Alligator mississippiensis: one gene and its partners. Each later gene encodes a partner of the first gene's protein in a complex. Links are inferred from orthologs where the notes say so. Each region holds a gene or a part of one and is shown in the gene's direction. Other genes may lie near its edges.

Region 1 (10,414 bases):
TTCCAAAAGGGAAACTAAGCTGATAGAACCTAAAATCCAAGCATAGCTGGAGTTTAGATTCACATTGATGTCAAAGATGAGAATAAGAGCCACAGCAATGATCTGAGCAAAAATGGCAGTCATTGTCCCTTCAAATGTCTTCTTTGTTCCAGGCCATTTGATTTCTCCCATTGTACTGCCAAAAACTGAGGCTATGGTATCTCCCACCCCTACTGCCAGGACCCCTGAATAGGGAACCAATGCACCTGTCCCAGACAAGAAACCTTTGTGAGCACAAGGTCTAGGGAACAACCACACGGGAAGGGACATCCCAAGAAGAAGGTAAATATGAGTTAAGATCAGAGGTCCACTATCACGTTCATCCAAAAAGAGAGAGAGCAAGTGCCTGAGCATTTGGCCAAATGGCTTGATCCTGAAGTACCGCACGTACTCTAAAAAGATAAACACTGCCAAGCATAACACTGCAGCAACATAGAGAAGCTGAGGGTCATAAATTAGCCCAGGGACATAAGTAGCCACCACTATGAAATGAAAGCATTTTCTGATTACGGTTGGAGCTTGGTGCTTTTTAGATTCAGATGATCTCTTGGCATTCTGGTAGAGAACCACAGTGCACGCAGAGGCAGCCAACAAGGTCCAGTACCCGAGAAGGTAAACTCTTGTCTGCGTCTGAAACAGAAACTGGAGCAACCAAAACAAAGGATTCCTTCGGATGAGCCGGTAAAGCCAAGGCATGATGACCCCCAGGCCAAGCACTGCTGTCATCATGTGGAAAAACATGGAAGAGGTCCAAGTTCCTGAATCCATGAAGAGGAAAAGAACAGTAAAGAAAATCCCCAGAAGGACCACACCAACCACTAACACCAGAAGGAAGAAGTCTATAGGATCTCCTCTGCCCTCTATCACATTTAGTGAGCGCTTAATGAGCTGGTTGAGGATAAAACTTATGCCCCCAAGGACCAGTAATGCTTCCCCAGGAGAGAAGCAGCGGGGCAATAGGTACAACAGGATCATACTGAGGTAGACAAAAATAAGCAGCACTTCCAGAACCTCTACCACTTCAGAAACAGTCAAAGAATGTTTCATGGTGTAGATGATTAAGCTTCCAGCAACACCAGAAAGTATGCAAGTATTAGTTGGCACAGGTTTTGTGATGCCAACTGCTATTACAGATAAGAAGAGGGCTATCACCATGCCAGTGGAGGCCACAACTATGCCAAAACGTTCAAAATACACAATGCCAGACATCTTGCATCTCTCTTTCATCACAATCCCCAACAGTGGAATGACCATGCTAGCTGGTAGAAGGCCGCTATTAGCCGTTGTCCGGAACTGGAAAACTGCTCCACCCAACTGGAGGAGACGGTCCCATTTAAACTGGACATAAAAAGCCTGAATGGCAAGAGCAATAGCGCACCAGGAATACCGATCCCACACCACCATGTGCACACACAGCACAATGGTGAAAACAACCAGAGATTCTACAAGCACTGGCTTGAGTAACATGGTTCCAATCAGCTGTGTCCCGTGATGTTAAAATCGTTATAATTGTCTGATCCCAATGTTTTCAATACGGTCTTTGGTCCGTTCGTAGAAGTTCACTTTCATCCTACTGCAATTCCTATAAACATAAACAAAACAACAACATTAGAGACTATAAGAACACTCAGAGCTTCTACAAAAACAACCCATTTTCTTAAGCTCAGCTGCATGCTTCAACTCCTGTACAAGAAAAATAAAACCAAGAAGGAAATAAACTGGCATTTTCCATGGCATCTAAGAATCAGAAAAGTCCAAGTCAGCTTCCATTTCTAGTGCCAAATCTCACAGCACTTTTATTCACATGCAAATACTAAAAACTCTAGTTGGTATGTCACATTTTTCTTTCCGCTACTGAGAGTAGGGAGGTGAGCACTGCATTCTGCAAGGAGTGTGCACAAATACAAGCAGCAATGCTCAAAAGAATTACACTGGTAAATGCATTTAGCTACTTCAGTAACTTATAACTTAAATACAAAAAAAATCCCCCTTAAGTCACAAGTTTGTTGTAAATGTAAATGACATTATATAACCTAAAACACATGCACGTGTGTGCGCGCACACACACACACATTGTGAACTATGCAAATTAAACAATTATGGATATAATTATTGGTAAGATTTTGGTATTAATAGAGATGAATAATGCTATTCCAATCATCAGCAATATTTGGTTGTTTAAAATATACCAACAAAAACAGAGCACATACTAACTGGTATGTAAAATGAACACAAATCATAAATAAAATAAACCAGAATAGGTAAATCAGATATTGATATTCAGCCTGCAAAGTCAATTTAAAAAATGTAAATGTTCTATGGGCCCTACCTTTGTTCCCAATTCCTTCCTTCCAATTTTTTGTGAATTTACAGTTGTATTTCCCTGTTTTTAAAAATATTTTTCTCTCTCCTCTTATTTTGTGAAAGGCAAGAAACAAACAGCAATGGGTATTGACAAAGCAAACACTGTAAACACACCAAAGATAAACTTCCTCACTGATAAATTTCTAATTATGGTAAGCCTAATTTTAGTAAATAAAAGTCTAACCTATGTATGAATTAAATTTATAGTGTCTCTTTGTAAGGAAACAGTTTTCCTGCCTTTTAATACAAGTGTCTTCTCTCCCTTAAGTAATAATCATGCTTTAGAAATATTAACTAATAACTTGAAAATTTGATCCATGCTGACATTTTGACTGAATAAGAGTCAACACAAATCTGTTAGCAACAGATTCAACACAAATTAAGAACATCTAAAATCTGGATGGAAAACTATAATCTGTGATGCAACAAAATAAATATCCCAGAGTATTCTGTGAACTCCCAGTCATCTTAATATGCATTTTAAGCTTATCCCTACCATGTAGTTGGTCCAATAAGATATCAAACAGAGAAGTCCTTGCCAGTCTGTCTTCTACAGCTTACCTTAACTTGACAATTTCATTGGTAAGGAGGTAAAATCTTTCACATCCTCTCCAGAATTTATTATTTCCTCTTACATATTACATACTTTATCAGTGGTACCTCACTCTATTTAAGCTAAGGAAAAAATATCTTGTAATAACATTCTTAAAGGTTACTCAAATAATTGATGTTTAGGGTCTAGATAGTTTTCTCATTGGCTGGAAACTTTGTACTGCAAATGTAATAATTTTAGTTCTAATTTTCATTAGGGTTCTTTTGATATCTATACCCATAGGATTTGAAATACAAAATTATTTTAAGCGATCAATTCATATTTGCTGCTGCTATAAAGCTAGGCCAAGATGCATGTATTTCCCCCTGTTCAACAACTCATTCATCAGTTTTGAAGTCATACAGGAAAAAAGTTTTATATAGTCAAAAAAGGTTAAAAAAAAACCCGTGCCAATTTTACCCCCCTCTGCCCAATACTAGCTTTGAGCAGGCCATTTCTAGATTTGTATAAGGAGTGAGGACCTCTCCAAGAGGGGCAAAGTGTACCTCACATACTAGCTAGGGAGGAGATATACAACAGAGGAATATGGCTGATTGTAAGTTCCAGCTCAGCTCCAATGCAACAGTGACACTTAGCAGCCTCACTTCAAGAAGTCTGTTCAAAAAGCCCCACAGGGATACACTTGGATGTCAAATGCTGATTTATAAGCATCTTCAAGTGCAACCCAGACACAGTGTAATTTGGAAACCTAGGGTGGGGGGGAAGAAATACGGCCCACAGAGGGGCTTTGCCCAGCCCACAGCAGGTCCCTCAATCCTGCCTGGCCCAGGTGCCATCTGGCCTGTGGCATGTCCTGCCATGCCCAGGCACGCAGCAGGGCTGGGGCAGTTCTGTGGCTGGGCTCCATTTCTAGGCAGCCCAGGTGGCAGCAGATGCCCTCAGCCCCATGGAGTCTGGTGGGGACCTGCACACACAACCCCAGCCAGCCCTGCACCCACTGCAGACTCACCCAAGCTGGAGTGGACCAACTCCAGACCAGCTGGGACCTACATGCACAGCCCTGACCCCAGCCTGCTTCGGACTGCCTGCCCATGTTAAGCAGCGATGCCAGCGTTGGTGGCTGTGCAGAAGCTACCACTGGGTGCAGGGGAAAAGTGCCCATCTTTTTTCGCTGGCCACCTGGAGCCTGCACCTGGGCTATCCTGCGGCTCCTCTCCAATGCCCTGCTGGGCTGCTCAGAGGCAATACTGGTGGCAGTGGTGACAGTAGCAGAGAGAAGCCACAGGGCATGGACTCCAAGCGGTCGCAGCAAGAAAGGCCTGGCAGTGGCAAAGGGAGGTGGGGTGACATATGACTGCTTTTCCCCTGCACCCAGCAGCAGCTTCTGCATGGCTGCCACTGCTGCTCATTGTGGCTGGGCAGTCCAGATCAGGTGTGGGGCAGGTGGTGGTTGGGGGTTTGCATACACTTCCCACCTGGTCTGGAGCTGGTCCGCTCTAGCTGGGGTGAATCCGGAGCGGGTATGGGGCAAGCTGGGGCCAGGGCTGTAAACTCAGCTGCTGCTGGGTGCCGGTGGCAGGGAGGAGCTGAAGGGCGTGTGGGCTCCGGGCTGTTGGGTTGTTTTTTTTGGGGGGGGGGGTAGGGAGAGGGAAGGGTGCAGCTGCAGCTCTCCAAAGCTACCTATGTGGCCCGCGGGCCCAAAGAATTGCCCACTCCAATCTAGGGCATACTATAACTATATAACAAAAGACTTTATCATTCACTGATTTCGTTGCCTTGTTTTAGGAACAAGGGAATTGCAAAGGTTTCACCAAACACGACCTCTCCAAGCTCCATCATCTCACAATACTTCCACTTCCTCACATACAGAAGATGCCACACTATTCCTGCCCTCCTATCTTTCCAGGGTCACCGCTCACTTTCTGAGCTGCTGCAAAATCGCCCTCTCGTTGGCAGGGTCTCCTCGAGCTCATCTCCCAGTGGCCTCACCTCTGTGCTCACTCCATCTCTCACGGGCCGCCGTTATTTCTCATTGAATCTCACCGCTGGTCTAGGCGTCTCTTTTGCAGCTCCTGACATCTCGAGCAGCCGTGCTTTGTCTCCGCACCTCGGCTCTCCAGCTCCTCTCCCGTCTCCACTGAAACAAAAGGCAGGATTTCTTCCTTATCTCCGCTGCTTAGTGTTTGTCTGAGCTCCTTCTACCTCCTTCCATTAACTCCCCCAGTGAGTTTTTGGGGGACAGCGGTGGCCCTGGCAGCCACTTCGGAGGCGACCCAGGGGGCAGGTGACGGGGGCAAGGACGCCCGAAGGAGCAGCCTCCGGGACTAAGCAGGGCCGCGGGGCGCCTCTTCGCTGCGACAACCAGCAATGCCACGGCCAGCAAAGAGCCCTGACGGAGGAGGGACTGGGGAGGGGAAAGGCGAACACCCGCCCCCCGCCCGCGAGCCGCTTCGTCTCCATGGCGCCGCCTCCCCGCAGCACCAGACTCGAGGCCACTCACCTCACAGGCCGGCGCCATCTTGCCGGCTGCGTCCGTCACGTGATGAACCCCCGCGACAGGCTGGGCGCGAGGCCCCGTCACGTGACGCAGGTGCCGGCCCGAGCGGCGGGTAACGGGTCACGTGAGAGGGGCGCGAAGATGGCGGCCGGCGGGCTGTGCGCGAGGTAGGAGCGCGCGCGGCGGTGGCGGGAGTCTCTCCCACCGGCAACGGCTCCTCCCGGGGGGTCGGGCTGGGTTCAAGGGACCCCCTCTAGCTGTCTGTTCCCGTCCAAACCCTCCTTGTTCTCCTGGAGCAGAGACCCCCCCCACCCCTCGGGTAAATCACCTCTGGGCGCTAGGTGTCCCCCCAAGCAGGGGGCTCCGACGAGGTAGGGGGTGGCGCTGTGCCCCGCTGCCAGGCGTCTCCCACGCACCCACTCACTTTCTCCACCGCCCGGCTGGGGCTGGCCCCGTGGCTGCATCGCACCGGGCTGCGGTGCCGCCTGCGCCCGCAGGCCGGGCGGGGGGGAAATGCCCTGCCCTGCCCTGCCCTGCCCTGCCCTGCTCCGCTCCGCGTGCATCTGCATGAGGTGGCTCAATTCACCTGCCCTGCCCTGCCCTGCCCTGCCCTGCTCCGCTCCGCGTGCACCTGCATGAGGTGGCTCAATTCACCCCTTCGCTGCAGTCCGGGAAACGCAGGGTCTGGCGGTCTTCGACATAATCCACTTCTGAAGCTCGTTCCCTCGAGGAGCTCCTGAAAAAACAAGGGCGTCGTGGGAGCCAGGGGGAAAGCAGGCCCTGTGGGCTCCTAGGTCTTGTATAACTCCCTTGGATCCTGGTGCGGACCCCGGAGCATAATAAATGGGTCCTTATCAAAGCGGTTCTTGTTCCTAGTGAGGGTGCGGAGGGGACTTCCTGGGCTCCCAGGAGCTGTTTCCATCAGCCTACATCAGATCCATTTCCACGTGGGGTTTGGATCCCTGGGGGTCCACAGACTGTGTAAAGCAGGGGCGGGCAATTATTTCCGGTGGAGGGCTGCTTACTGAGTCTTGGAAAGCCATCGAGGGCCATATGACAGGCAGCCTGGGGCAGATAAATATTAATTTTCTAAATTTTGGGGGGCTCTGCAGGCTGGATAAATGGCCTGGTGGGCTGCATCTGGCCCGCGGGCTGCATTTTGCCCACCCCTGATGTAAGGGATCCGTGAAAGATGATTATGATCGATCAAAAGCAGGCAAATACACGCACTTAAAAGTCCAAGCGGTCCGCACCTCCCTTTGACATTTTATATGGGCCCGCAAATGAAAAAAGGTTGAAAACTGCCGCACTGAGGTTCATTGTGCATCTCCAGCAGTAAAAGGAGTGGTTAATCATTTTGGGGTGGGTAAACAGCAGCAATTTATCAAACCATTCAGACTTCAGCTCTGTTTGTAAGGACTTCTATTTGGCTTGGGGCTGAGGAGAGTTGGGCTGCACAGCTGCTTGGGGTGTGAGAGTGGAATATAATAGAGCCTAGCCCAGAGGGTCTTGATTGAGGTGTGAATGGGAGCAACCTAATGGTACTACAGTAGTCACAAAACTTGATGTAAACTGGTTACAAGAGAAAGCAGGGCAGGATGACTACAAGAACAAACTCTTTCATCCCTGAATGAAAGAGTGGACATATGTTTTGCAGGGTTATTTGACCTGAGCAAGCTTTCCTGCCCAGAGCAGGGAAGCTGGACCCAATGATCTCATCATGAGGTCCCTTACAACCCTAAACTTCGGTGAATCTGTGAATGATGCAAATGGGTACCCAGGCTGTAAACTTGCCTCTGTTCGCAGCCTTGCATTTGAAATGCTTGAAAAAGTAATTTATTTTATTTTATTTATTTTTAGCAGTGAGAGGAGGCACAGGGACCAGCAGTGAATTAGATATATTAGTGTTTTTGTCCATTTAGAATCTTAAGTGGAGAATATGTGCTAACAAAAATAGAGCAACTTTTTAAACAGTTTTGCTGCCAAATGGAAATCTCAGTTTACACACCACCAGAACGGGACCAAATAGTCCATTGTTCTGTAGAACACTGAGAACACGTTATAGAGAACTTTTCTGGTTCTGTTGCAAAAAAATTACATTCTGTGCACTGCACATTAAAGTCTGTTCTTAGAGCTTTAATCTCCAGAAGTGAGCCATAAACCTTGAAGACAGAGATCAGATTTTCAAGTCAAATGTGTAGTCTCATGATGAAATTGATATTTGAGGAGCTGATATACACTTTAAGCCTTTGGATATCTTTACTGTTCTTTTGATCTTGCTTGTAACATGTCAAAACTCTTTGACTTTAAGCAACTATTTTTTCAATATATTAATTAATTACATGGATAATCATGCCCAAGGCACCACCTGGGATAGGAGCACTATTGTGCATTATAAATGCTTCATAAGAGAAATTTCCTTTCCCAATAGCATCTTTCCCAAGAAGCATCTTTAAGTGAATTGGAAGGAGTTGAAGCCCCATTTTAATCCTGGAAAAGTTCTGAATGAAATGAAAATGGGGTGGAATTGATTCAGCCATATTGCTGTTATGCATTACAGAGGGAGTATCTCCTTGGGAGAATTCTGTAGTCTTGGTGCTCTGCACGGGACAGAGGGGTGACACACATTTTATCGCTAATTGGAATAGGACAGGTTCTTCTGCTTTTATAGAATGAAGTATATCTAACTAGAAAGGAATCGGCAGCTAGAAACTACACCAATGAGTGCATTAGAAACCGTAACACTGGAAATCAATTATGTAGCATTGCTGTATTAAAAGACACTTAGGGATTTGAACTTTATAGTGATATTTTTTGTAGATTGCATTCTCAAAGTAAATAGTTTGCTTTTAGTTAGTGTTGCTTTTCTTTGCATTTCTTGGTTCTTCTGATTACTTGTGAAGGAATTATGTTCAGGTATTTTGCTACTGCTCTACTATTTGAGAGGAAGTAGTAATTTTCAACCAGAGGAGAAAAAGATGTTTCTAGTCTGCCTCATTCTGGAGTAACTCCAGGGTAATTTAGTCAAAATAAGACACTTCCATCCTAAGTGTATCTTGATTGGCAGCAAGTCAGGCTGTGTGTATTTTAGCCATAACGTAGCTAACACAATGCTGTTGGTGGTTTTTGGTGTTTTCTTCAAGGTATAGACATCTTCAGAGTTACCATTTTCAATGTCTAACTTATTCTAGATATTGTGAGAGTATTGCCAATTAAGTTTTCTTGGATAAAAACTGTCATATGAAAAACATGTCACAAGTTCTGTTTGTTCCTTTCTAGACGGCCAGCTTTTGCATGGTGATTTTGTACTGATTTTTATTTAAAACTTTATTTGGGTTATGCTTCCATCAGATCATTAGTTCCCCAAACTCCTAAAGGGGCTTCATTTTGGAAGATGCTGTTAATACAGCAATTTTAAATAGCTAGATTTTATTCATATCAATCTAGAGTGGCTCTTCTTTCTTTCTGAGAAGTCCATAGTAGGATAAGGATTTGATCTCAAATACCTTCTGGCACAAACAAGCTTTTCTCATGAGGGCTTGGGAAATGGATAGAAACAAGTCTTACCTAAACTATGGTGGAGAGTCAGGACAGTTCTTTGCCTTCAGGAAAACAAGGGCATGTTCTTACCTTGTGCTCAGTTTGTGTTCCATCCAAGGATGGAGGTATTCAGGTCATAACAACAAAGAAAGCTTAGTGAAAGGTCTCTGTATTTAGCTTGGTTTCCTTAAAGTTTGGTTTGCTTAAAGCCATTGGTTAGGTTTGTGCGTGGTCCCTTACCACTTAGTCTGCTCTAAGTTAAAACCAACTTTAGAAAGTTATAGACTGACACTGTTTCAGGATGTTGGTTGTAGCCGTGTTGGTCTAAGGACATAGGCAGACAAGGTTCTTTGGGTAAATGTGATATCTTTTATTAGACCAACTAAATAGGTGGAAAAATAGTTTTTTGCAAGTTTTCAGGCACAAACACCCTTCTTCAGGCATAGTCACTCTCCCTATGCCTAAAGATGGGTGTTTGTGCCCAAAAGCTTGCAAAGAACAATTTTTCCAACTATTTAGTTGGTCTAACAAAATATATCATATTTACCCAAAGAACCTTGCCTAGACTCGCATTAGCTGTTTAACAGTGTTTGATAGCAAAATAACACACTTTTTTTACTTTATTGACAGGAGTAGCAGAGAACTGTGGACCATTCTGCTGGGCAGATCAGCTTTGAGGGAGACGGTAAGTAGAGGCCATGCCAAGCAACTTTGCTTGTTAGGAACTTACTACAAGGTACAGTATGCTAGTTTTGTGTAAATGTTTAAATCCTAGTGAATTGTGTTTTGCTGCTCTGCCTCCTCCCTATCCCAAAAATATTCTTACAGTGAGATTGTTGTTCCTGTCTTTCCACTCCTTGTTTATTCTCTCTTGTTAGCTGCTGCACCAACCTCTACCTGAGAGGGTGTATGGGAAAAGGTGGTTCCCTTTCTGGAGCGGACACAAGTGCTGCTTTCCAGACTGGCTGGCCTGGGGTATTCAGGAGTGCAACAGCCGGCTTCCTTACCCTCTGGGATGGAGTCCATGCTTTCAGGAATGTGCCCAGAGGTTGGAAATCGAAGTCCATTTCTGATCCTAGACTGTTGTCTCCTCTTTCCCTTTCCCTTCCCACAGTTAGGCAAAGCAGCAAGCTGTTCTTTCTCATATAACATACACCTTGAATCAAAGTCTGAATCATAGATACTCTTTATACTGATCCTGTGTCCTTTCTGTCTCTCTGTGGTGGTGGAATTACTTTGCTTAGTTTAAATTAAATAAATCTGATACTGGATGGTATATAGAGAGTTGTCTGACGGTATTGTTTTTTTTCTCTCTAGGCTCAGATTGCAGCAGAGTTGAACAAACATTGGCAGAGGCTACTAGAGGGGCTCTCATACTACAAGTCTCCCAGGTACAGTAATTGGCTGATACTAGCCTCTGG
Region 2 (11,099 bases), on another chromosome or scaffold:
TTTAATAAGTCTCTTAAGGTTTTCTCTAAAAGATTTCATAGATTTCATAGACATTAGGGCTGGAAGGGACCTCGGAAGATCATCGAGTCCAGCCCCCCGCCCAAAGGGCAGGAAGTCAGCTGGGGTCATAGGATCCCAGCAAGATAAGCATCCAGTTTCATCTTGAAGGTGTTCAATGAAGGCGCTTGAACCACCTCCGGTGGCAGGCTGTTCCAGACCTTGGGGGCTCGGACAGTAAAGAAATTCTTCCTTATGTCCAGCCTGAAACGATCTTGAAGTAGTTTGTGACCATTCGACCACGTCATCCCTTGGGGCGCTTTGGTGAACAAACGTTCCCCCAGATACTGGTGGTCACCCCTGATAAACTTGTAGGTGGCCATCAGATCACCCCTGAGCCTGCGCTTTTCCAGGCTAAAGAGCCCCAGGGCTCTCAGCCGGTCATCGTAGGGTCTGCTTCCCTGACTTCTGATCATGCGCGTGGCTCTTCTCTGGACTCTCTCAAGCTTCTCCACATCCTTTTTGAATTGTGGAGCCCAAAACTGGACACAGTACTCCAGCTGCGGCCTCACTAAGGCCGAGTACAGGGGGAGAATGACGTCCCGGGATTTGCTTGAGAAGCATCTATGAATGCAAGCCAGCATTTTGGTCGCTTTACTAGCCACCACATCGTATTGCAGGCTCATGTTCATCTTGTGGTCAATGATGACCCCCAAGTCTCTTTCTTCCATAGTGCTAGCCAACATAGCACTGCCGAGCCTATAAGGATGCTGCGGGTTTTTTTTCCCCAAGGTGGAGAACCTTGCATTTATCGGCGTTGAACACCATCAGATTCTCATCCGCCCACTTGCTGAGCCTGTCCAGGTCAGCCTGGATCACCCGCCTGTCTTCTGGTGTGGATGCTTTGCCCCAAAGTTTGGTGTCATCGGCGAACTTGGCCAGTCCGCTTCTGACTCCAGTGTCCACATCATTAATGAAGATGTTGAACAGTATGGGTCCAAGGACAGAACCTTGGGGGACCCCACTGGTCACAGGACACCATGATGAGTGACTTCCATCAATTACTACCCTCTGGGTCCGACCCCGGAGCCAATTTTCCAGCCAGTGGATCGTGGAGGACCCAAGGCGACAATTGGCCAGTTTCACCAAGAGGCGATCATGGGACACCAGATCAAAGGCTTTTTTGAAGTCAAGATATATGACATCAATCTCTTCTCCCTTGTCCAGGTGATAGGTCACCTGGTCATAGAAGGAAATGAGAGAGGTCTTGTTTAACCAACCCGCAACAAACCCGTGCTGGCTATCCCTTAAGATGTTGGCGTCGGCCAGTCCATTAAGGATGGCCTCTTTAATAAACTTTTCTAAGATCTTCCCCGGGATAGAAGTCAGGCTGATGGGCCTATAGTTAGCTGGATCCACTTTCCTCCCTTTCTTGAAGATAGGCACCACGTTGGCCTTCTTCCAGTCTTCGGGCACTACACCAGAGCGCCAAGAGTTTTCAAAGATCTGCGCTAGAGGCTGGGCTATGATGCTCGCCAGCTCCTTGAGTACCCTGGGGTGAAGATTGTCAGGGCCGGCTGACTTGAAGGTATCCAGCTTCTCAAGATGTTCCTTCACAAGTCAGCATCAATGGAGGGCAGGGGATCACCCTCACCCAGACTTCCCGGCCCTGTAGCGGGCATGGGCATCCCATGGGGCTGATGAAAGACTGATGCAAAGTACCTATTTAATAGGTTGGCTTTTTCCTGGGCGTCAGTTGCCCCATCTGGTTCAGCAGGGGTCCAATGTTGCCCCTGCTTTTCCTCTGGCTCCCCACATATCTGAAAAAGGACTTTTTAGTGTCCGTGATGCTCAAAGCTAGCTGGAGTTCAGTTGCAGCCTTGGCTTTCCTGGTCTGCTCCCTACAGGACCGGACCAGTCAGAATAATCCTCCTTGGAGGTTACTCCCATCCTCTATCCTTTGTAGGCCTTTCTTTTTAGCCTCAGGAGTTCTGCTAGGTCCCTGGAGAGCCAGGGTAGATATTATTCATTGCCCAAATGTATAAAGTCATTCCTCTTTAAGAGTAGAATCTGTATGTCAGCTTCCTCCCAAACTCTGCCTTTACCTTGGGGGAGTTGCTGGGTCCCAACTCTGAATATTTACGTTTTACATCTTGTAAGGGTGTTTTGAAACTTAATTTGTAAAATGGCTTTAAATCTGTAACTGAAAGACCTCATCACTGTACACAAGTAATCTCAAGTAAAACAGTACCCAAACTTGCAGAAAAGTACTGCAGAGTTGCATGCTTATTTGTTTTTAAAAGATAGATTGATACTTTTGCCTTTAAAAGGAGGTGGGAAAAAGCTTGAGAGAGTTCTGGATAGATCAGTAGGTTTCTGTCTTGCTCATGGATTACATCTGTAAATTGCTGTTGCAAGGCACGTGAGAGTTAGAGATGATAAATAACTTAAATTTGGGGAAGACTTAAGTAGTATAGATAAAAATCTTAGATTTCTGGTGCTTTGCAAACCTTACTGCACATTTCTTTAGACTTGGAAGCTTTTCTTCTCTTGTAATTGAGGCCAAGCCTCTCTCCAATCCCCACCCTCTAAACCCCCAGTGGTTATTCAGTTTGAATGAGAGTTTCTGTGGGTTGTTTTTTTAGTTGAAATCTGTCTGTTTGAGCAACAATACACTATTCCTCTTTGAAAAAGAAAAATTGGATAGTCTGCATACAGTGTGTGTGTGTGTGTGTGTGTGTGTGTGTGTGTAACATTTTTCCTTCAATTGTAATGCAGATGCAGCTAAGCATGAAGATGCATAAAAATCCTTGAACTTCCATCCAAACTTTTTTTCCAAAGAATTTCATACATGAATGACAACAGTCTCTAGACCTTTTGTGTCCAGCTTGTTTAGAGAATAGGAACAGGAAAACTGGAGCAAAAGCAACTTACACAGTTGTAGTTCTTTGAAGTTTATACCTGAAAGCATATCTAACAAGATTAGAGAAACAGAACTCTTAATCAAATTCAGTTCTTATACCTGCAGTTGGTCTTCCTCAATTACCTAATTTGCTTTTCTCTTTTTAGTGTGTGTGCTGTGGTCAAGTTGGATTTTGTTTTTTGTTTTTTAAAAAAAACAAAAACCTGTTCTATTTTTTTTAAATAACATACTTATGATTTTAAGGTTCCATGGTTTCTCACTTTTTTTCTCTCTTCCAGGTTGGGTAGAAAAATGAAATGGCACAGCTGAGTCCATTTGTACTCTGATTTCAAATTTGTGTTACACTGTGGGTTTTAAACCCTGTAGGAAATCTTCATTTTGTTTTGAAAGTGGTTGTCTTCATACAAATATTTAAACGGCTATGGAATCCGTTCATGTAGCCTTAGTTTCATTAAATTCTTAAATTTATTTGGTAATCTAAAACCTGGATAAGATGAGGACCGGCTTTCCACTTCCTTTGGGGCTAGTTTGTATCAGGGCTGTATAAGTTTTTCTGCTGAAACAGTATGGTAAAGGGACAGAATCATAGACTAAACGAACTGACTAGCATTTAATTCCATGCTCCTGTAACATATTTGAAGAGGAAGCTCTGCAGAGTGCAGACTTGCAGCTTCAGTGTTTTCTACTTTCACTGCCACCACTTTTTGAAAGGACCATAGCTGAACTAAAATTATTGGGAAATGAACTGTTTTTTCAAATGCAGCATCTCTGCCTGTCTATTAAAAGATCTGTGTCTGATTTTAAAATGAATTTGCAGTTGTAGTTATTTCCTCCTTTGTTCAGTGTAACTGAACTTTTCACATTTTAACCACATCATACATACTTCCTTAAGACCTAGCAGGAAGTTGATCAGTTGCTTCAGTCATGCTGGGTATACATATTCAAGAATAAAAGCTTCTATTCTTCTCTACAAAAAAACAGTAATGTTTCAGGTGAAAGAGGAGTATGCACTTCAATCCCTGAAACTCCTAGTTACCCATATATTAAATTCCTATGTTTATACTGGGCACAATGAAGCTTCCTTCTCTTGTCCCTCCCCCTGCTACCAAATGATTGTTCTACAGTTTAAGAAAATAGAATTTTTTAGTCTCTAGCACAGCATGTTACTTCTCTAATTTATAAAAAACTAGGAAGGCTGCCCCACTCATCTCTATAACACCTAAGAGTAGTAGGCTTGTGAGCCAAAATCCAGATAGCTGGGTTCCTACATTCTATACTGTGTAAATGAAAGAGTAGATTCAATTTTAAAATAAAGTTGTCACATGCACTTTCCTTCACTAGTATAAGACAATATATTAGTTTAGAATCTGACATTACAAGCTTTTGATGGTGTATATAATTTGGAAGGGGAGGATGGTAAGATCCTGCACCCTACCTACTGCCAAGAGTAAGGGAAGCAACACAATGTGCTTATTGCTTGCTTGTACTGGAGAGAGTTCAAGTAAATGTTTTGCTTCTGCTAGTTTTCCTGTGTTCTTGTATGATGGATTTCTTACTGTTGGTTTTTAATAATCATTTTAATGGCTTTTTCTTTGGGAGAGCAGGTATTTTTCTTAGCAACTCGTGACTTGTTAAAGCAGAGATAGACAAAATGGGTGATCCGGCTAGCAGCTGGACTCCATTTCCTAGCAGCCCCTGCCTGTACGGCTGGGGCCAGTCTCCATGGACACCCCAGCAGCCGATTTGCTGTGATCATGGAAACCCTGGCCTCCCATCGAGACCAGCACTGGCAGGGCAAATAGCAGGGTGCAATGCTGCTCTGGAGCTGGGCTGGGATCTTTCAGCGGTGACGTGATCCTGAGCCAGGGCAGAGAGCTGTGATCTGCAGCATGCATGCCCCGGACTGGGGTGTGCAGGTCACGGCTCTGCCCTGGCTCTGGATCACGCTGTCACGGCTGAAAGATCCCAGCTCAGCTCCAACGCAGCTCTCTGCCCTGCCAGCAGGGGAGGTGCCGGGGGTGGGGCTTGAAGCAGCTAGAGCAACCCCTCAATTCCCCACAGCCACCCCTCCCAGGGGTCTCTATGGAAACCCTGCCCCCTACTGTCATGGGGCAACTGCTGCTGGGTTCTGCATGGAAAGTGGCTCCAGCCACAGAGCAGGGGCTACTGGGAAACGGAGTCCACTGCTGGCTGGATCTGGCCCATGGGTTTGACTTTGCCTGCCTGTGTTAAAGTTTTATTTTCATATGGTGTAAGACTCGATGATAGGTGCCCCAGATGGCTCAAAACCCCTTTTGTGCATCTCGTCTTGAAATGTACTGGCATAATTGTGGGTGATCCTTATCTATTAAAAATTGGTCTGATTTAAATTACTTGGAACTAACTCCTGGCATTGTCCACCAGCAATGATAAACTATTATCGGGTAGGTGTAACTAAATAATGTAAAAAACCCACTATTTCTTATTTACTGTGCTTAAGGACAACCAAGCATGGTTCAGGTGCTTATGGCTGAAGTAAATAAATTAAAAAAAAAAAAAAAAGCAAAAAGGTAGGGAGGGGAAGGTCTCAACCAATGGGGGCAGAGGGGGAGGGTGGGGGGTTTGCCTTCCTTTGCAGAGTTGGGGTATTGCCCTCTACCCCAGATCTCTTGAACCCTTTTTTTTTTTTTTCAACCCTTGTAAATGTTGACAATATTTTACAGAACTAGGATGTTGCCTGCTTTAGCGTAGGATGTTAGGTTTGTGCTTGTGCAAGGGTAGTGAAGGAATAAAAAGGGTAGTGGAGTTAACTTACGGTTTTGTCGGATGGTTTGGATAGGGCCGGACTAGCTAACCCTGGAAGTCCCCATCCCTCCTGCTTTCTCTAGGATCCTGTCCCTAAAGGGCTGACGTAGCATCTTCACCCCTCTCTACTCGCCTTGTTCTGCTGCAATAATGTTAGCCACCAGCCCCATCGGAGTGCGAGCTTCTGTGGATCGTGTACCTAAATCTGAAGCCCTCTGGCTTTAGGCTTGCACTAGGATGCCTGCCAGTAGATTTGGGACTATCTGAATTCCTAGAGTGAGAGCCCGCGACGGAGGATGCCCGCCGGTTGTAGCATCATGCATGGTGTTTTGAAGAGATTGAGTTCTGCCTGCTCAATCAATGAGGTTTTCAGAACGATTTGAGCTCTGACCAATTAGTATGATTTGGCTGACTTGATCCGGAACACGAAATATATTAATGGGAGAAAAAAAATCAGTGCAAACCTGTGCCTGCAACAAGCAGGCTATGCTGCCAGAGGAGCTCTGAGTGCAAGATGCACTGAACTCTGCAGGCAGGAGTGACGCAGGGGGCAGCCCCCCGGCCCCACCTACTCCTAGAGGCGGGCGTGCCCCAGCGCTGTTTGCTGCTCAGGCCTAATGCCTGGCGTAAGACACTCTTGAGAGGAGCATTAAGCTTCACTGACAGCCCCCGACCCCCAGCAGGCCGCACAGGAAAGGCGCCCCTTGCCCCAGAGCTGAGGGACGCAGCCCACCCGAGCCACCGCAGGCTAATGTGCACATGCGCGCACCCACAGTTCCGCCTCGTCCATCGCAGGCAGCAGCGCGCAGGCAGGAGGCGCATGCGCCTTCTGCGCGCGGCGCCGGTGCAGGGTCAGCTTCCGGTGGCGGGCGGGTGCTTCCGGAACGCGGGAAGGCTCAAGTAGTGGCCACGGCCGGGGCTGCCGGCATGGACTGGTGAGTGCCTCTCCTCTCTCTAGCCAGCGCCGGACGGAGGTGGCCAGGGGCTCCCATGCCCGATGCGCTCAGGGCGGAGGGAGGCGCGGGCTGTGCAGTAGCTCCCCCCCTGGCCTGGGCTGCCGCAGGTGGCTGCGCTGGCGCGGTCTCTCCTCAGGGCTCGTGTCGGAGGCTTCCGCTTGGTCTCTTGCGCCGGCTCCAGGAGCTCGTGGAGGGGCTGTGCCGGCCCTCGTATGGTGCCCCCGCCGCAGGGCCGCCCTCCCTCAGCGGACTGACAGCGGGGCCGCGGTGTTGGCAGCTCGTTCCCGGCCTGGGCGAGAGCCGCTGCCACCGCCGGTTTCCCGACCAAACAGCAGGGCGCTCTGCCAGCGCGCGTTGTATCTTCTTGTGCTGGTGGGGAAGCACCCTTCTTGTTCACACACGCACCCTCTTGCTAGTCTGCGTTAGTTGACACCGTGCGTTTCAGTGCCCCTTAGCGCTAGGAGGTACATGTGGGAGGGAAGGAAATGTGTTGAAGGAGGGGTGTACCCTGAAAGCAGCATCTCTGGGAGACTTAGCCTTGAGGCAAGTGCACAGTTGAGGAAAGGGGGAGTGAGAGCTCTGCAGGAGGATGTAAGCAGGCGTAGCAGTGTGGTATTCCTGAATGCAATGGGAGCAGGACTGCGGCGTCCTCTGGGTTAGGTTCAGAAAAAAGCTATGAGAGTGACTATGTTTAAAGGGTTGAAACTGGCTCTGAGGCTAGGTAGTGCACTTGCCAGGCTAGGTGACTGGCTCTGAGTGCAAGATGCATCCAGAGTCTATTAATGGACAGCACTGAGTCAACACAGGGGAAGGTGACCAGTGGCATCCCTCAGGATTCAGTGCTGGGACTAGTGCTTTTCAACACGTTTATCAGTGATTTGGATTTGCATATGAAAAGCAGACTGGCGAAGCTCGTGGATGACACCAGATAATGGGGGAGCACAGTCACACTGGAGGACTGTGCTGGGGCTGGGGATATAGGACAGGCCTGAACAGGCTTGCAAGGTAGGTGGATCAAAACCTGATGATCTTTAACACTGAGAAATGTAAAGTGCTCCATCGTTATTCCATTGAGGAATAATCCACAGCACACTTATAGGCTTGACAGTGCTATACTTGCCAGCACCGCAGCTGAAAGAGATCTGGAGGTTGTAACAGATCACAGAATGAACGTGAGCCACAAATGTGATGCTGTAGCTGACAGAGCAAATCAAACACGAGTATGCATCTACCAATGTATCTCAAGCAGGACTAAGCCTGTTCTCCTCCCACTCTACTAGGCCTTGGTGATACCATAGCTGGAGTACTGTGTTCAGTTCTGGGCGCCACACTTCAAGAAGGATGGGGAGAAGCTCGAGGTTGTCCAAAGGAGGGCTACATGCATGATTAGAGGTCTGGAGAGCAGGTCATACAAGGAAAGGCAAAATGACATAGGACTGTTCAGCCTGGAGAAAAGAAGACTTAGAGGAGCCTTGGTGGCAGCCTCTAAGTATATCAGGGGTGCACAGCAGGGCCTGGGGGAGCATCTGTTCACCAAGGGATCCTCAAGGGGAAGGCAAGAAACGACAGCCACAACAACAGATTGAAGATCGTTTGAGATTGGACATAAGGAGAAACTTCTTCACCATTCAAGTGTTGAGGGTCTGGAACAGACTCCCCCCAGAGGTGGTACAGTCACCTACCCTGGAGAGCTTAAAAAAACGATTTGACATGCACCTTGCTGGGGTCATCTGACCCCGGCAGTATTTCCTGCCCAAGTGCAGGGGAGCTGAACTCAATGATCTTCTAAGGTCTCTTCCAGCCTCTAACATCTATGAAAAACTGCCAGGGGTTTTAACAAGGGTTGAAAAAAAATGTGTTATCAGAGTTCAGTTTATTTGGTTTATATCAGAGAAGGCAATGAGGTTAGGGCTATCTGGGGAAGAGGTTTTGAGTGTACACGTACCTTGTAGAAAAAGCTACAAGGAGGCACGGGGATCAGAAGTTGGGAGCTCACATAGCTTTAACTAGAAATGAGGTGCAATGAGGGTAGAACCGATGGAACAACTTATCTGCAGATATGGGGTAGTCTGTCATGTGATGTCTCTAAATCAAGGTGAGGTATCTTTCTAAAGGAATGTGGTAGTTCAGGGGTGTCATTGTAGGGTGGATCTGGCTTGCAGAGCTGTGTCATCTGGCATATGGGGCTCCTGAAGGGGTTGGGAACTTGGGGGTGAGCAGGGGTGAGGCCTTCCTCTGAGTTTAAGAGTATGAAGTCCCACTGGGAATGTGTTTTGGCAGGGTGAGCAACAGCTGTATTAAGCTTTGATTCCCTGAAATGTCTGAGCCTCTGCATAAACTGCCTGTTTAATGCCACCACTGCTTTGCCCTGCTGCTGGAGATCTGGATCCAGGAGCCCTGCAGTCCAGATCCAGCTCGGGGTGGTGTGGGGGAAATGAGCCAATCAACTTTGACAGCCCTGCTATAGTTCAAACAAGCTGAGCACTCGGATCAGGAATTGCTGTGGGAGTTCCTTAGGTCTGTGCTGTATAGGAGTGTCTCAGTGTGGAGGCTGGTCTCTTCAGGCCTTTGAACTTACTCATCTAAGTGAAGTTCCAGTTTTGTCTGTGCATATAAGTTAACTTCTTGGATTCTGAAGCTTCCCACAGAGTCTAGGAACTTTACAAATATTATGTATTTGGTGGTCTATATGCAGTTTGCATTTCACAAGCATTTTGCTTTATGGGAAAGCTAAATCTTCCCTTCTCCTTAGCACAGGTCAACTTCATGGGCCAAAGATAAATCAAAATATTTGGGGAAAGAATCAAAGGTGTGAGTTCACTTCATTCTTTATTTTAAATATCATGTCTCATAAACCCATTATGTGACTTGTTTAAACTTTTTCAAAAACATTCTGTTCTCATGTAAAATCAGCTAGTATTAGAACTTCAGCATAAATGTTCAAGTTTGTCAAAGATGTTAGTTAAAATTGGACTAGCTGTGGGAGGGACTACTGTGCATCTGTTAGAATATTTCCCATGAGTGTGAAGTTAGTTACTTAATATTTGTAGCGTAATCTTTTCAGCACTGTGGAGAACTTGTTTCTTCTCAAGCATTTCCCTCTTCTTTTAAGTTAAAGGACATTGCTGGATAGAAACAACCACAAGAGTTTGGGGCGGGGGGGGGGGGTGAGGAGAGGGGGTTATTTTGAGAAAGTAGTTTCTTTTTAATTTCATAAAATACTGGCTACACTTATTTACTTTTCTAAAGTATTTGAAAGTAGTTATTGATCGTACAATCTAATTAGCAAAAGAAAATAGAATTCTTCTCCCATAGTTTGTCCTGCTTAAATCTGTTTATTTGTATTTGTTTGTTTACTACATTTCTGTTTTGTAGGACTGATTTTGGAAATGTGGCATCCCCACAAGATGCGGAGATGACTAGGCCTGCTCGAAAACAGAGTTCTCAAAAAAGAGTTTCTAGTATCCTTTCTCTGTCAAGGTTTTTGCGTGTTTGTGAAACCTCTAATATTTTGACTGCACCATGGAATAGTTATTTTTTCTTGGTTTTGGCTTATAGCAATTATGGCTCCCATGAGATCTAGTTAATTTCAACTGCTATAGAGTACTGTATTGTATTCCTTGAAATTATGCACATTTGAAATAACACTAGTATGAAACTTGCATTTTCTTGTCCTGTACGTTCATAATATAAAGGAACATCACTAACTTTGAAATATCACTCACTAACTTTGAAATACCACTTCTAAGACCTTTAAATCTACTGTTCAAAAGTAGTGTGTGTTTACTGGTGAAAGATTACATAGTAAAAACAATCCCTCTGTTGTACTTAGGCTTTCAACAGCATTTGTATTTTGTCAATTTTACTGTATCCAACATATAGCCAGTTATTCCTATTTCATGCATGTTTGTCAAGCTGAAAGAGATAGAAAAAATTGGTAGTGAGAATTCGGAGTAACACCTGGAATGTTTTAATTCTGTCTTTTGTGTTGTTATTTTTAGATTCTAGTTCAGTTTCCCTTCAAAATTTTTCAACATTATTAGAAAACTTGGGGGTTTTGATTTAGCAAATGAATATAATTGACTATGGAAATGGAAATGTTAATATTTCATTTTCACTATAGCTATTTTATTGTTAGAACCATTTTGTATAAATTTAATGAATGCAATAGTAATTATCTGATTTTGATGGTAAAAAATTCTAGTGCATCTGTTCTTTCTATTACTTTCTGGAACTACTGCAAAATTAGCTTAATAAGGTGGTGGCCCTTTTTGTTGTTCCATTTCCAAATCATCAGGCCAGAAGTAAAATTGACAGGATTCATGTCGGTTTCCTGTTGCTGATATTGCTTGGGAAATGTGCAGTATAAGCAGGCAGGGTACTGTGAGCAGTAGATGGCAGCTCTGTTCCAGCTCCAGACCATGCTGTCTCCACCACAA
Region 3 (10,672 bases), on another chromosome or scaffold:
ACCCAACCCAGGTTTTTACTAGTAAGATATTGGTACTAATAGCAATATTCCAAGTGTAGGGAACTGACCAAATATGTCATAGATCTCAACTTTGTTCCTTGTATTACTGCCAAAATCCAAGAGAAAAAGATCAGGGAGAACATCTAAGCTTTGCTCTGATGTCACTCTCCCTAACCCCAACACAGTAAAATCATTGCCGTGAGAGATGATGCATAGTTCTTTCCTCCCACAATTGTTAGTGTTCACATTATGAATGGAAGAGCTGGGAGCAATCCCATGGCCCATTAGGGACTATGAAGGATATAAATGAACAAAGAGAAATTCTGGAGGCAAAATGGCCAGAAAAGTCCCTCTGAACAGGTGAAGTAAGTGCCCTTTCCTGTCCAAGTCATATGGGACTTCCAGTGGAGTACATGAACAGGACTAAGTCACTGAAGTTATTTAGATGTCTTACTACTGCTAAGCACCAACAAGATATCAAAAGTCTCACTGAACTTGGCAGCCCAGTGAGCTAGCACAGTAAAGGCACACCAATCGCTACAGCCAACAGTACACGAAGGAGTGACATGGCTCCCGTGTGCCATTTGCCTGCCGAAGCAACTAGGTACTCATTTGAAGCTGGGTCAGTTAGGGACAGCCTTTAGCAAAAGTCCAGAACAAGACTCACACTCACATCTTGGGAGCCATAGCAAGATACTTAGCTGTTGTACTACTTGACCCCACAGATATTCATGATCCTCTCTGTGGACTGAGACCTTGTAGTGGCAGAGAGGCTTGTGTGTCCCAATGATCCTCAGAGCTATGTTGTCTGCAGTTTTGTACTTCTGGCAGGATCACTCACAGTGAACAAGCCTGAGGGGAGGTTCCAGACAAACTATGGTCCAACCCCAAGTCCTCAATGGTGGATCAGGCAGAAGGTGTTAGGATCTCAACAGCTGTAAAAACAGAAGGCGGCTGCACCAAAACGGAGGTCTCCTGTCATCAGGGTTTCTCCCGACACCGGGTCCAGATCTCTACCTTGTGAAGATTGTGTGGCTGCTGTTTTTGTGCACCAGCTTCCTCAGGTTAAATGAAGTCATACACAGGCTTCTGCCACAGGAAACACTCTCCAATGAGCTGTGGTAGAGATCATCCTCGAATCAAGGGACTGCCACCAATGATGACAATGGAAGAAGAGGTCACAAAATGGTGGAATGAGACGAGCACCACTAAAGGAGACAGGAGGGCTTGAAAGAGACAGCACAGAGTGCATCTCAGTACTGGACTGTAATGTTACCCTCTCAAGTGTTCAAGCCCAGCACTGGACTCCACACAGCAATAGCCCTGTGCAATGAAGATTGTCCTGCCTTTCTAGGAGGGATTTAGCACTGCAGGGGGAGAACAAAATGACTGGATACAATGATATAGCCAGATACAAGTGAGAGAAGGGACAAGAGAAAAAGGCAACATGAAAGAGAGATTTAAAAGGCATCATGGAAAGAAAAAGAGGAGCCCAGATATGAGAGCAGACAAATTCTGGACAGGGAGTAGGTAAATGTGTGGCAAGAGGCATCAGAGTATAAACTGAAGGACAAACCCAAGGAAATTAGGATTCCTCTCCTGCTACAGTCCTGTGAACATGGGATCTGGGTGTTTTTTTCTCCTTAACTGCATTGGGAAGCATTGGGAAGCTAGAAAGAATAAAGAAGGATTATTTAAAAATATACAAATGTTCAGGAGATGAAAGATTTTAGGATCTTTGGGAGTTGGCCTGGGATTGTACCAAAGAGAGGAGGAGTTTTGAGAGCATGGAGAAATTTGGTTGACACAAAGGAGCAGACACTTGATAAGTCCAGAGCTTTATTAAAATTTGTTGCTCGAGGGCATGCTGGAAGTCTGCTTCCATTCTTAGCTTTTGTATCTCCTGATCAGCTAGGATAATTCCCCATTTTTCTCTCAACTTCTCAATTAAAACAGAATTCCTTCCAAGTGAGGAGCGCTGCACTCTCCCCTCCAAAGCCATCTGCAGACATTCTGCGGAATGGCAAGGACAGACTCCAAAGTCCAAGCTCACAGGAGACACTGGGCAGAACAATTTGCCCCAAATTCCAACAGGGAGAGTAAAACAAGCATGAAATGAAAGCAGCAAGGATAGAATCTTGCCTGGAATCAACTGAGCTGAAACACATGTGATTACAAAGAAGGCTAAGGGGTGAGAGCTGAGTTCAGCAGAGCAAAGCCCCCCCCAGATTCCCTAGGAGGCTTAAATTCTATTTGAATCTAGGAATCAAGATTCATCCTTGGGCAACTGGCCAACCATACCAACAAATTGGTGCCAACTGGCCAATCTGTGAAGAAGAGAGCCTAACTCCATCACAGAGACACATGACAGTGTCTAGTCACCCAGAGCACACTGCAGAGGGAGGTCACACTGCACAACAGACCTAAACCTGTGGCACCCAAGTGATAGTAAAGTGGCACAAGCTGGTGCCTTGTCTGTAAGGGGTCAATGGCCTAATTCAGTGAGTTGAAGAGGAGCAAAGGGGTAGAACTCCACAGAAATGCTACTTCCAGGAGAAAAACCAATGTGCAATTTCATAATCATTTCCACATTAAGCCCGAGGTTGGGTTTGCATAAGCAAAAAGAGCGAGGCTAAAGTTGACCTCTCAACTTTTAACTCTGGAAGCCTGATTGTATAACCGTCACTTTGCATTAATATGGTTTTGTGCACAGAGTATAAACTGCATGCAATCTTCCCAACTTCTTACATCAACATTCATAAATACTGACACCTCCTCTTTCCCCAAGTCACAACATTAGTGTAGAAGGAATGAGCTTTAAAAGGTAATCAATGCCCCCTTTCTCATCAACTTTCTGCTTTTTCAGAAAATAGTGCTTTCCTGCTTTTTGCTTTCTTGGTTGGGCAGGTCTTGAGTTCCCTAGACCTTCTGTGCTGGCAGTGTTCCCAGCTGGCCAGAGGAGTTCTGTAGTTCCATAGTTCCACACTGGCCTCCAGTTTCAGCCTATGGAGGTTAATCAGGCATAAACCATGACTGGTTTCCTCTGGCCATAACCAATGGGATGACAGACAAAATTGCCTGGGGCATCTAGGCACAAGAACCAGCATGGGATGCGGTGCATCATCATCACATATAACAATACAATTTTTCTCCAACTACAAAGAAACTAGAAACTTTACTAATATCCTAGGGGCCAAGGGTTATACTATTGAGTTTAAGATTGAAACAAAAACAAATGCAACTTTATTGGAATGTGCAGTCAGTTGCTATATTAAGTATAAAAAGGGCAACAAACTAGGAAAGACTTTTGTCCTGTAATCATTAGGATGCTATGTACATTTCTCATTCAGAGTAATAAAATAAAATCTAGCCTTGAGCGTCTTGACAGTTCATCCAACACTTCACTGACAGTTATTTTAATGTGCGAGTTTATGTACAACATGGCCAGTCCATTAAGACGCTCTTCATCCACTGCTGAACGAAGCCAAGTTTTAATTCTGTGGAGAGTAGAGAAACATCTTTTCGCTGGAGCTGCGGATACAGGAAGCGTGCACAGAATCCTGAGTAAAATATGAATGTTTGGAAACCATCCCTTGTCGCAGTCTGTCAGACTATCAATGGCTGTGCTTGGCACTTCTTTTTCCTCCTTGCCCTGCCACTTGAGTTTCCACAATTGAAATTCCTCCAAAACCATATTCCTGCTATCTGGCAAGTCTTCACCATACATTTCTAAAACACGGCTAAGCTTTTCAGATGGATACCGACATGAAACGAGAGGTATTAGAATGCCAAGATCCGTTACAGTGTTGCTGTGCAATGTAAATCTCCTCGCCAGTTCTTGAATCATGAAGTCCAAAAATGGGATATAAGTGTTAATTCGAAAGTAGTCCTCAACACTGTCACATGAAACATTGCATCTGTTTTGCTGCCGGGCTGCAAGTTGAGGCAATTTTACCTCAATGTCATGTTTAATTGCAAGTGACTGGGCAATATTAAATATTTCTGCAAATTCAGCATTAGAGTTAGATCTCTTACCTTCTAAAACCTCAACTGCCAATTTCACTTGGTCAAAACATTCCACAATGTCAGCATTTACCCTCTGAAGTTCCTTGGACAGTGGAAGAGTGATTCCTAAGAGGAATTCAGCAACTGTCAAATTGATAATAAATTCAAAATCACATACGCTTTTGTAGTAGAAATTTGCTTTATTTCTGACAGCTTTGTCACCATCCGTCTGCATTGCTTCCAGTGCTGCAATAATAGCATCGTAGAGCTCAGCGAACACCATGATACTGTCATGTCGCTCCACCCATCTAGTAACACAGGCACTTTGCAAGCGTTTGTGCCTGCTCTTTGGGCACGTGGCATTTATAGCATCTGACAGGTACTTCATCCGTTTGGCCGACTCCTCAAAATATCCAATAGCTTCATTCAGAATGCCTAAGGTAGTTTCTATTCCACGTATTGTGCAAGATTTTGCTATGGTAAGATTCAAAGCATGAGATGCACAATGGCTGTACGCAGCTTTGGGAAAGTCAGATTTTATGTGAGCCTGTATACTGTTTACGTGGCCAGCCACTTTGGTGGCTCCATCATAACCCTGCCCCCTCAATTTTGTCAAATCTAGACTACATTCCCTCAAGAAATCCAAAAGGGCCTTTGCTAAACCGGCACCAGTCAGGTTATAAACAGGTAAAAAGCCTAGGAAAACTTCACAAACTGTAACTGGATCTTCTTTGACATATCGCACACAGACAGACATTTGTTCCACATTTGAAATGACTGTGGTTTCATCATCTAGGAATACCGCAAAGAAACCCGACTCATTTATTTCATGTACCAGCTTGCTTCTGACGATGATATTGCTTGCTTCTATAATTTCCCTTTGAATGGTTTCACTACTGTATATTGCATTTTGGGGCTCATTTAGTAAGTGTTCGTGTAAGGTTATGTCACCAGCTTGACAATGGAGACGCAGAAGTGATTGGAAAATGCTTTCAGATTTACTCTCACCGTTCTTACCCAATTCACCGTTATCCTTCCCTCCAAGTGGCAGACCGTTTTTACCTGCAAACACCACAGTCTCAATGATAGGCGCAAGTTTCTTTCGGTTTTCTTCTACCTGGGCACATCTTTCTTCATCCAGCGTGTGTATGAGAATTTTATAGGTTTTTTCATAACATTCGCTGAATATTTGTGCTTCCAAACAGGCTGCTCCGTGAAACTTTTTTGTAGTGTGATTTTTTAATTTTGTCGTAACTTTTTGCCAATTCTTGCATGGCTGAGAAACCAGCGTAGACAGTTTCTGGCCTCCTACCTGTATTGGGGCAAACAGCACACAAACACGACAAAAGACGCCCGCGCATTTCTCGCTATAAGATACGAACGGATAATTTATCAGCCACGAGTAATTAAATTTTCGCGACGTGTTCTCCGAGTCTTTATACACCGGGAACTCATAGCTCGGATGAGGGGTCCACGGCTGGGTAAGCAGTTTATACTTAATTTCATCGCTTATCGAATGCCTACAGTCTACGTAGTTCCCAATGTCGTAGTCGTGGGGAGTTTCGGGATCGGGCAGGGCTTCCTTTTGATCCAGCGCCAACGGCTGAGCTTGATGCGCCGCAGCAGACTCGGGATCCAGCGGTTCCCACGCGTCGGGCTCGCTTTTCACCGTCGCGACGCACCGCTTCGTACAGAACGGATTCGCGGCCGTCTCGTCTTCTTTCCATCTCTTCTCCATGTCGGCCCGGACCACGAGGCGCCCCACGCAGAGCGGGGACCTGGAACAGCACAGGAGGGAAAGACAGCGGCACCCGTTGGCCCAGCAGGGCGATGTTTCGGAGGCCTCGCTGTGCAGCCCGACAACCGGCACAGCACCGCGCCCCCGAGCCGGCGGGGCGGGGCGGGGAGAACGGAACGGAGCCGCCCGCACCCCAGAGCCCGAGCCCGGCCCTCGGCTCTCCAGCAGGGCCAGTGGGGTTCTTCCTTCAGCCCGTCGCGCGGGGCTGCCCTCGGCGCGCCTGCCCCCCCCAAAAAACCCAAAACAAACCTAATTGTTAAGGCCCAGCAAACCCATCCTCCTCGCCACAGCGCTTTCTACTCTCGGAGGTTAATGAAGGCGGTGGCTTCGCAACGTGGGGCGGAGTCGAAGGCGACAGGCAGCGCGGAGGGCAGCCGGGAGGGGGCCTTCCTCTGCGAGGGCGCGCGGCGGCCGGGCTGGAGCGCGGCGGCGGCACCATGGAGGAGCTGGATGTGGAGCCGGCGCTCACTGTATGGAGGCGGCGGGGCGGGTGGGGCGGAGGGCACCGGCCTGGCCTGGCCTGGCCTGACCTGACCGCCCCGTTCTTCCCTGACAGGTGGTGCCGGGGGTGGCGCCGGGCCGCGGGCTGCACTTCCAGTGGGGGCCCGGAGAAATGCTGGTGTGCGAGGCCGCCTTCCCCGGCGCAGGTGGGTTAGCACCCCCCCCCCCTCCGTCTTATTCAGCAACATAAGGGTTACCATCCTCCCCCCCTATTTTATGCTGAACATAAATAAAGAAAGAAATAAGGGTTAAGGTTTTGTTTTAACAGGAGCTGAGATTTTCAGGGCGTCTCTGACTCCCCGAGTTGAGGCCGTTAAGGAAGGAAACTGCACCTTCACGTGGCAGAAGCAGCAGCACAAACGGGGCAGGAGCAGGGGGAGAGTTCAGCGCCAGCAGCGCTGATCAGCCGTAGGCGTTCAGGTGTAGGAACGCAGGGACTCGGACACTGATCACAGGGGAACCGACTTGGAGTTGTCTCCAGCAGAATATTTATCGCATCCAGTCGGTCTGCACCTCTCGCGCTGTTTTTGTTACTGGCTCATTTCTTAATCCTCATGTGTCGCTTAAAAACAGTTAAACCCTGGGTTTTAACTTGTGAAGCCTAGAAGCGTGCTTCTGCCCTGCAGAGTGGTAACGCTCGTGTTGTTTTATGAACTGATGGCTTTCCATGATTTGTTTCAGGACACGGGGAGAAAGGGCCTGGCTGCCCCTATATTTATGTCCTTCGCAAGGATCAGGACATATACTTACATACCTTACGTAAACTTTTCAATGAATCCCATGGCATCTTTGTGGGGCTCCAGAGGAGTGAGGAAGAACTGTCTGGGAAATCAAGGAAGGCACAGTGAGTGGATGGAAATGCTTGATAAGTTTGACATAAAAAGGACAATTCAGCTTTCTTGCCGCCCCCCCCCAAGAATATCCTCTTATTGAGGCAAAATTCAGGTAGCATGTTTGCACGTCCCCTTTCGTTGTTAAAGTGTCTCCGAGTCACTGAAGTGATCAGACATAAATACCTACTTGCCTCTTGTTGACTGAACGTAGTAATGAATGTATTTTGGTTTTGTTATTCCTCTTTATTATTGCCTAGTCTCCTTTACTGCTGATGAATGTTGCCGCCTCCCTGGCCAAGGGGGTAGGAGATCAATCCCCTTAGGACTGGTGCACATGGCTGTCTTGTTAGGAAGGGAGGTGGTACATTAATAATTATGCTGTACAAAAAAGGCCTAACGTATTGCTCCTGTTTGTACATCAAACACAAGTCCGTTTGCAGTGAAGCCAATAACAAAACTTCTGAGTTTCAAGTTCTCAGAGCTGCTGCTGATCAGTAATTTTACGTAACTAATCTTTTCAATATATATTTTATAAAGTTAGGTTCTGCGCCTGCAGATTATTTTGTGCAGACAGAACCTATATGGACTCCCCTTGCTTCATTTAGATTCTCCAGTGCAGGAGGTGAATTTCTGGCTGAGCAGAGAAAATTTGAAGGGTCTTGATCCTAATGTCCAGTAGCCATATGGCCAATAATACATCTCTCTCTAAACAAGGCCTCTTTATTCTTGCTAGGTTGGTTGGAGTAAGTAAAAACTACCGGTCAGTCATCAGAGCCTGCATGGAGGACATGCATCAGGTGGCTAGTAAGTTGTTTTTCTCCATTAACAACAAACAGACTAGGTTTGAGTCCATACATTGAATCTTATTGCAACTCTTTATTATAAATGACCGTAAAATAAGCTGTTCTGATTGTCAGTGGGGGTTCTGCTCTTCTCCCTAAATTCCATGCTGATTTTTGAACAGAGGCTGAGACATCGTTGCATTACTTTTTAATTGAACTTGCAAGATTACTCTTGTGGTTACGTCTTTTTAATCTTATCCACTCTATTTCTCTACTCTTCAATTCCTTTCTTAAATTTTTCAGTTCCTTGGCAAACCTGATCATTTTCTATTTTTTTACCTTGCTTCTGGTTTTGCTGATTTTTCTTCACACAAGATACTTTGCAACCTAGCACCCCAACTCTAACCTAGCTGCGTCAAGGGTCATTCTTGCTGTCCCTTTTAGAATGCTGGACTTCTGAATCACCTGTCATTTCATGAATGAAAAAGGTGGTTTCTTTATTATGATCTGTTCTGAACCCTTAGGGTTAGAAACAGGTTTTCCCGCAGAGCAGACAACAATATAGCACCATTATAATAGTGGAATGCCCCTACTCTCTGTGACTGATTGCAGCAGTATGATGATACTTGTTGCCAGTCATGTTTTTTTCTTGCACATAGCATCACTCATGGTCATTTATTTTTCTGTGCTACTCTGCTTCATGAGCCTTTAAGCACTGTGTGACATGTCTAAAATACAGTTTAAAAGGTCTGGACAAATGTTTGGACTACTTCTATTTATTTTTTTCTTCCTCAGTTTCAACTCGGGATCCTGCCCTGCACAACCAGTATAGCACTCAGGTAAACAGTCCTTATATTTTTGAAACCTGGTCACAACTGAAAGTAAACTCTTGCCAGAAAATATACGAAGGCTAGCATACTGTGGCAGTGATATGTTCTGAATCTGGGTTGTTTTAGTCATTTGGCTCTGTGTACCCGCAGCTGTACATGGCCAGATACACAAGCTGTAGGAGCCATTTATTTATATGTATTTATACAGTTATGAAAAGTTGCCCCTTTGAATTGTGGCTCCCCCACTATTACCTCAGTATATGTCCAGTTTTGCAGGTGAGAGGCAATCTTACCATTTTATAAAATCTGTGAGCCAATATCTCACTTCACCCTTCAAATACCACATCCAAAATAAGCAGATGCGTCTCCTAGCAATCCCTGAAAATTAGACCGTGAACTTGCAGCAATAATAGACCAATCTTCCAGGAAGAGCAAAAAGTATTAGATGTAGATGCATCTTATCACTGGTATTTCTCTTCTAAAATTCAGATCTGAGTTGCTTTACAGAACCAGAGTAAATCACTTTTTGGTTAAGGCTTTTCTGTACAAGGCCTTTGAGCATTAATGTTAGAAAGAATTCCTGTACCATTCAGTGTTTAGCACAAATGAAGGATTTTTTTCTATTACAGTTTACAAACAACTTTTAAAACTTAACCCAATTACATAAAGAAAATGTGGTGACCCATTGTCTCCTTGTAATTCACATCTTCTCTAAATGTCAGTAACCATTTCTTTTACCCACAAGAAGGAAACTTAAGCAATAAGGAGGGAGGATGTTATTCAAATGTCTTTGCTTTTGCTAGGAAGCATGGGAGTGATTAATACATTGGTAACTGTTCCTGTTTTTCCTCAGGTCTCTATTCTCTCTGCAATGGAACTGATTTGGAATCTCTGTGAGATTCTCTTTGTTGAAGTGGCACCAGGTGAGAATAGACCTATACTGATGTTAATATTGAGAGGGGCTTTTTTGTTCATGTACCTATTTGTTTTAGAAAAGCATGTAGAAATTATTACATCTTACCATCTCTTCAGCAATCATACTATTAATGCCAGGAAGTAACAACAAACCTGTCCCTTCTTCTGGCCAGAGATAAGAATTACTTTCTGTATCTTGCATCGAATTCTAAATTAATAGATCATTTGCCTTTTTCCTTCCAGTTCCTGCTTTCTGTGCCCTGTGTATTTTAACCTAGAAATGGAACTGTTTCTAGTTACCTGACCTTAATTAATTACAGTGCCATCAAACAGACTTTGTTTTCACCTGACAATCAAAAATTAAGGAAAAATCTCAAATACAAATGCTATTTAAATTCTTAACCAGCAACTCTATATACTTCCTAAGTATCAGTTACCCATTAGGGGCCAAATGATCTGATGCAACTCCTGTGACTTCAGTGTGTTTTCATTCACTTCAGCTCAATTTCAGCAGAGAATTTGACCCTAGGATTCCAATCCAAATGGCTTGTAGAAGCATATTTCTTTGCATAAACTGACTTCCCTTTTTCATTCACATACTGAGATTTTTCAAAGTGTTGACACTAGTTGCTGGAGAACATATTCATTACTTGGTACAAGCTTTTTTCTTCATTTCAGGCTAAGAGAAATCAGATTGGGAATAAAATAAACACATTCATAAGTTTGTGCATCATGTAGACAGTGTAAGGTTTATCTATGTTCATCCTTCTGTGTCTTCAAGCACTTGTCTTTTGCAAATGACACCACTATAGTTACTCAGTAACTTTGCCAGGGTGAAAGAGAAAGTTAGTAGACAAAGGGTTCTTTTTCAATCTGTAAAATTCTGAGTTTAATTTGGAGTCTGCTGTATTTCCATCATCTGGATATTTGTGTATTTTCTGCTAGGGCTTGAGACTGGTAGATGATAATATGGATGAGCAAGAGAAATAGGCAGACTTGTCCCCATCT

What was found. The genes of interacting proteins can lie anywhere in the genome.
Region 2: NUP188 (region 1) and NUP107 share a complex: the UniProt entries of both Homo sapiens proteins name them as parts of the nuclear pore complex. The link is inferred for Alligator mississippiensis from reciprocal best matches to the Homo sapiens genes NUP188 and NUP107.
Region 3: NUP188 (region 1) and NUP85 share a complex: the UniProt entries of both Homo sapiens proteins name them as parts of the nuclear pore complex. The link is inferred for Alligator mississippiensis from reciprocal best matches to the Homo sapiens genes NUP188 and NUP85.

Annotation. Positions count from the first base shown.
Region 1 is NC_081835.1:58,083,420-58,093,833, forward strand, and holds the start of NUP188 (nucleoporin NUP188), read left to right. Parts: upstream 1-5,524; 5' UTR 5,525-5,594; coding exon 5,595-5,620; intron 5,621-9,623; coding exon 9,624-9,678; intron 9,679-9,923; exon of another isoform or gene 9,924-10,008; coding exon of another isoform or gene 10,009-10,041; intron 10,042-10,310; coding exon 10,311-10,384; intron 10,385-10,414. Other genes in the region: DOLK (dolichol kinase), read right to left, coding at 1-1,506. UniProt on the Homo sapiens protein: Component of the nuclear pore complex (NPC), a complex required for the trafficking across the nuclear envelope. Required for proper protein transport into the nucleus.
Region 2 is NC_081827.1:69,364,294-69,375,392, forward strand, and holds the start of NUP107 (nuclear pore complex protein Nup107), read left to right. Parts: upstream 1-6,617; 5' UTR 6,618-6,631; coding exon 6,632-6,639; intron 6,640-9,412; coding exon 9,413-9,469; coding exon of another isoform or gene 9,470-9,471; intron 9,472-10,035; coding exon 10,036-10,121; exon of another isoform or gene 10,122-10,140; intron 10,141-11,099. UniProt on the Homo sapiens protein: Plays a role in the nuclear pore complex (NPC) assembly and/or maintenance. Required for the assembly of peripheral proteins into the NPC. May anchor NUP62 to the NPC. Involved in nephrogenesis.
Region 3 is NC_081831.1:12,342,253-12,352,924, forward strand, and holds the start of NUP85 (nuclear pore complex protein Nup85), read left to right. Parts: upstream 1-6,190; 5' UTR 6,191-6,240; coding exon 6,241-6,273; intron 6,274-6,359; coding exon 6,360-6,450; intron 6,451-6,985; coding exon 6,986-7,148; intron 7,149-7,870; coding exon 7,871-7,941; intron 7,942-8,714; coding exon 8,715-8,758; intron 8,759-9,602; coding exon 9,603-9,672; intron 9,673-10,672. Other genes in the region: 52 kDa repressor of the inhibitor of the protein kinase, read right to left, coding at 3,347-5,743. UniProt on the Homo sapiens protein: Essential component of the nuclear pore complex (NPC) that seems to be required for NPC assembly and maintenance. As part of the NPC Nup107-160 subcomplex plays a role in RNA export and in tethering NUP96/Nup98 and NUP153 to the nucleus.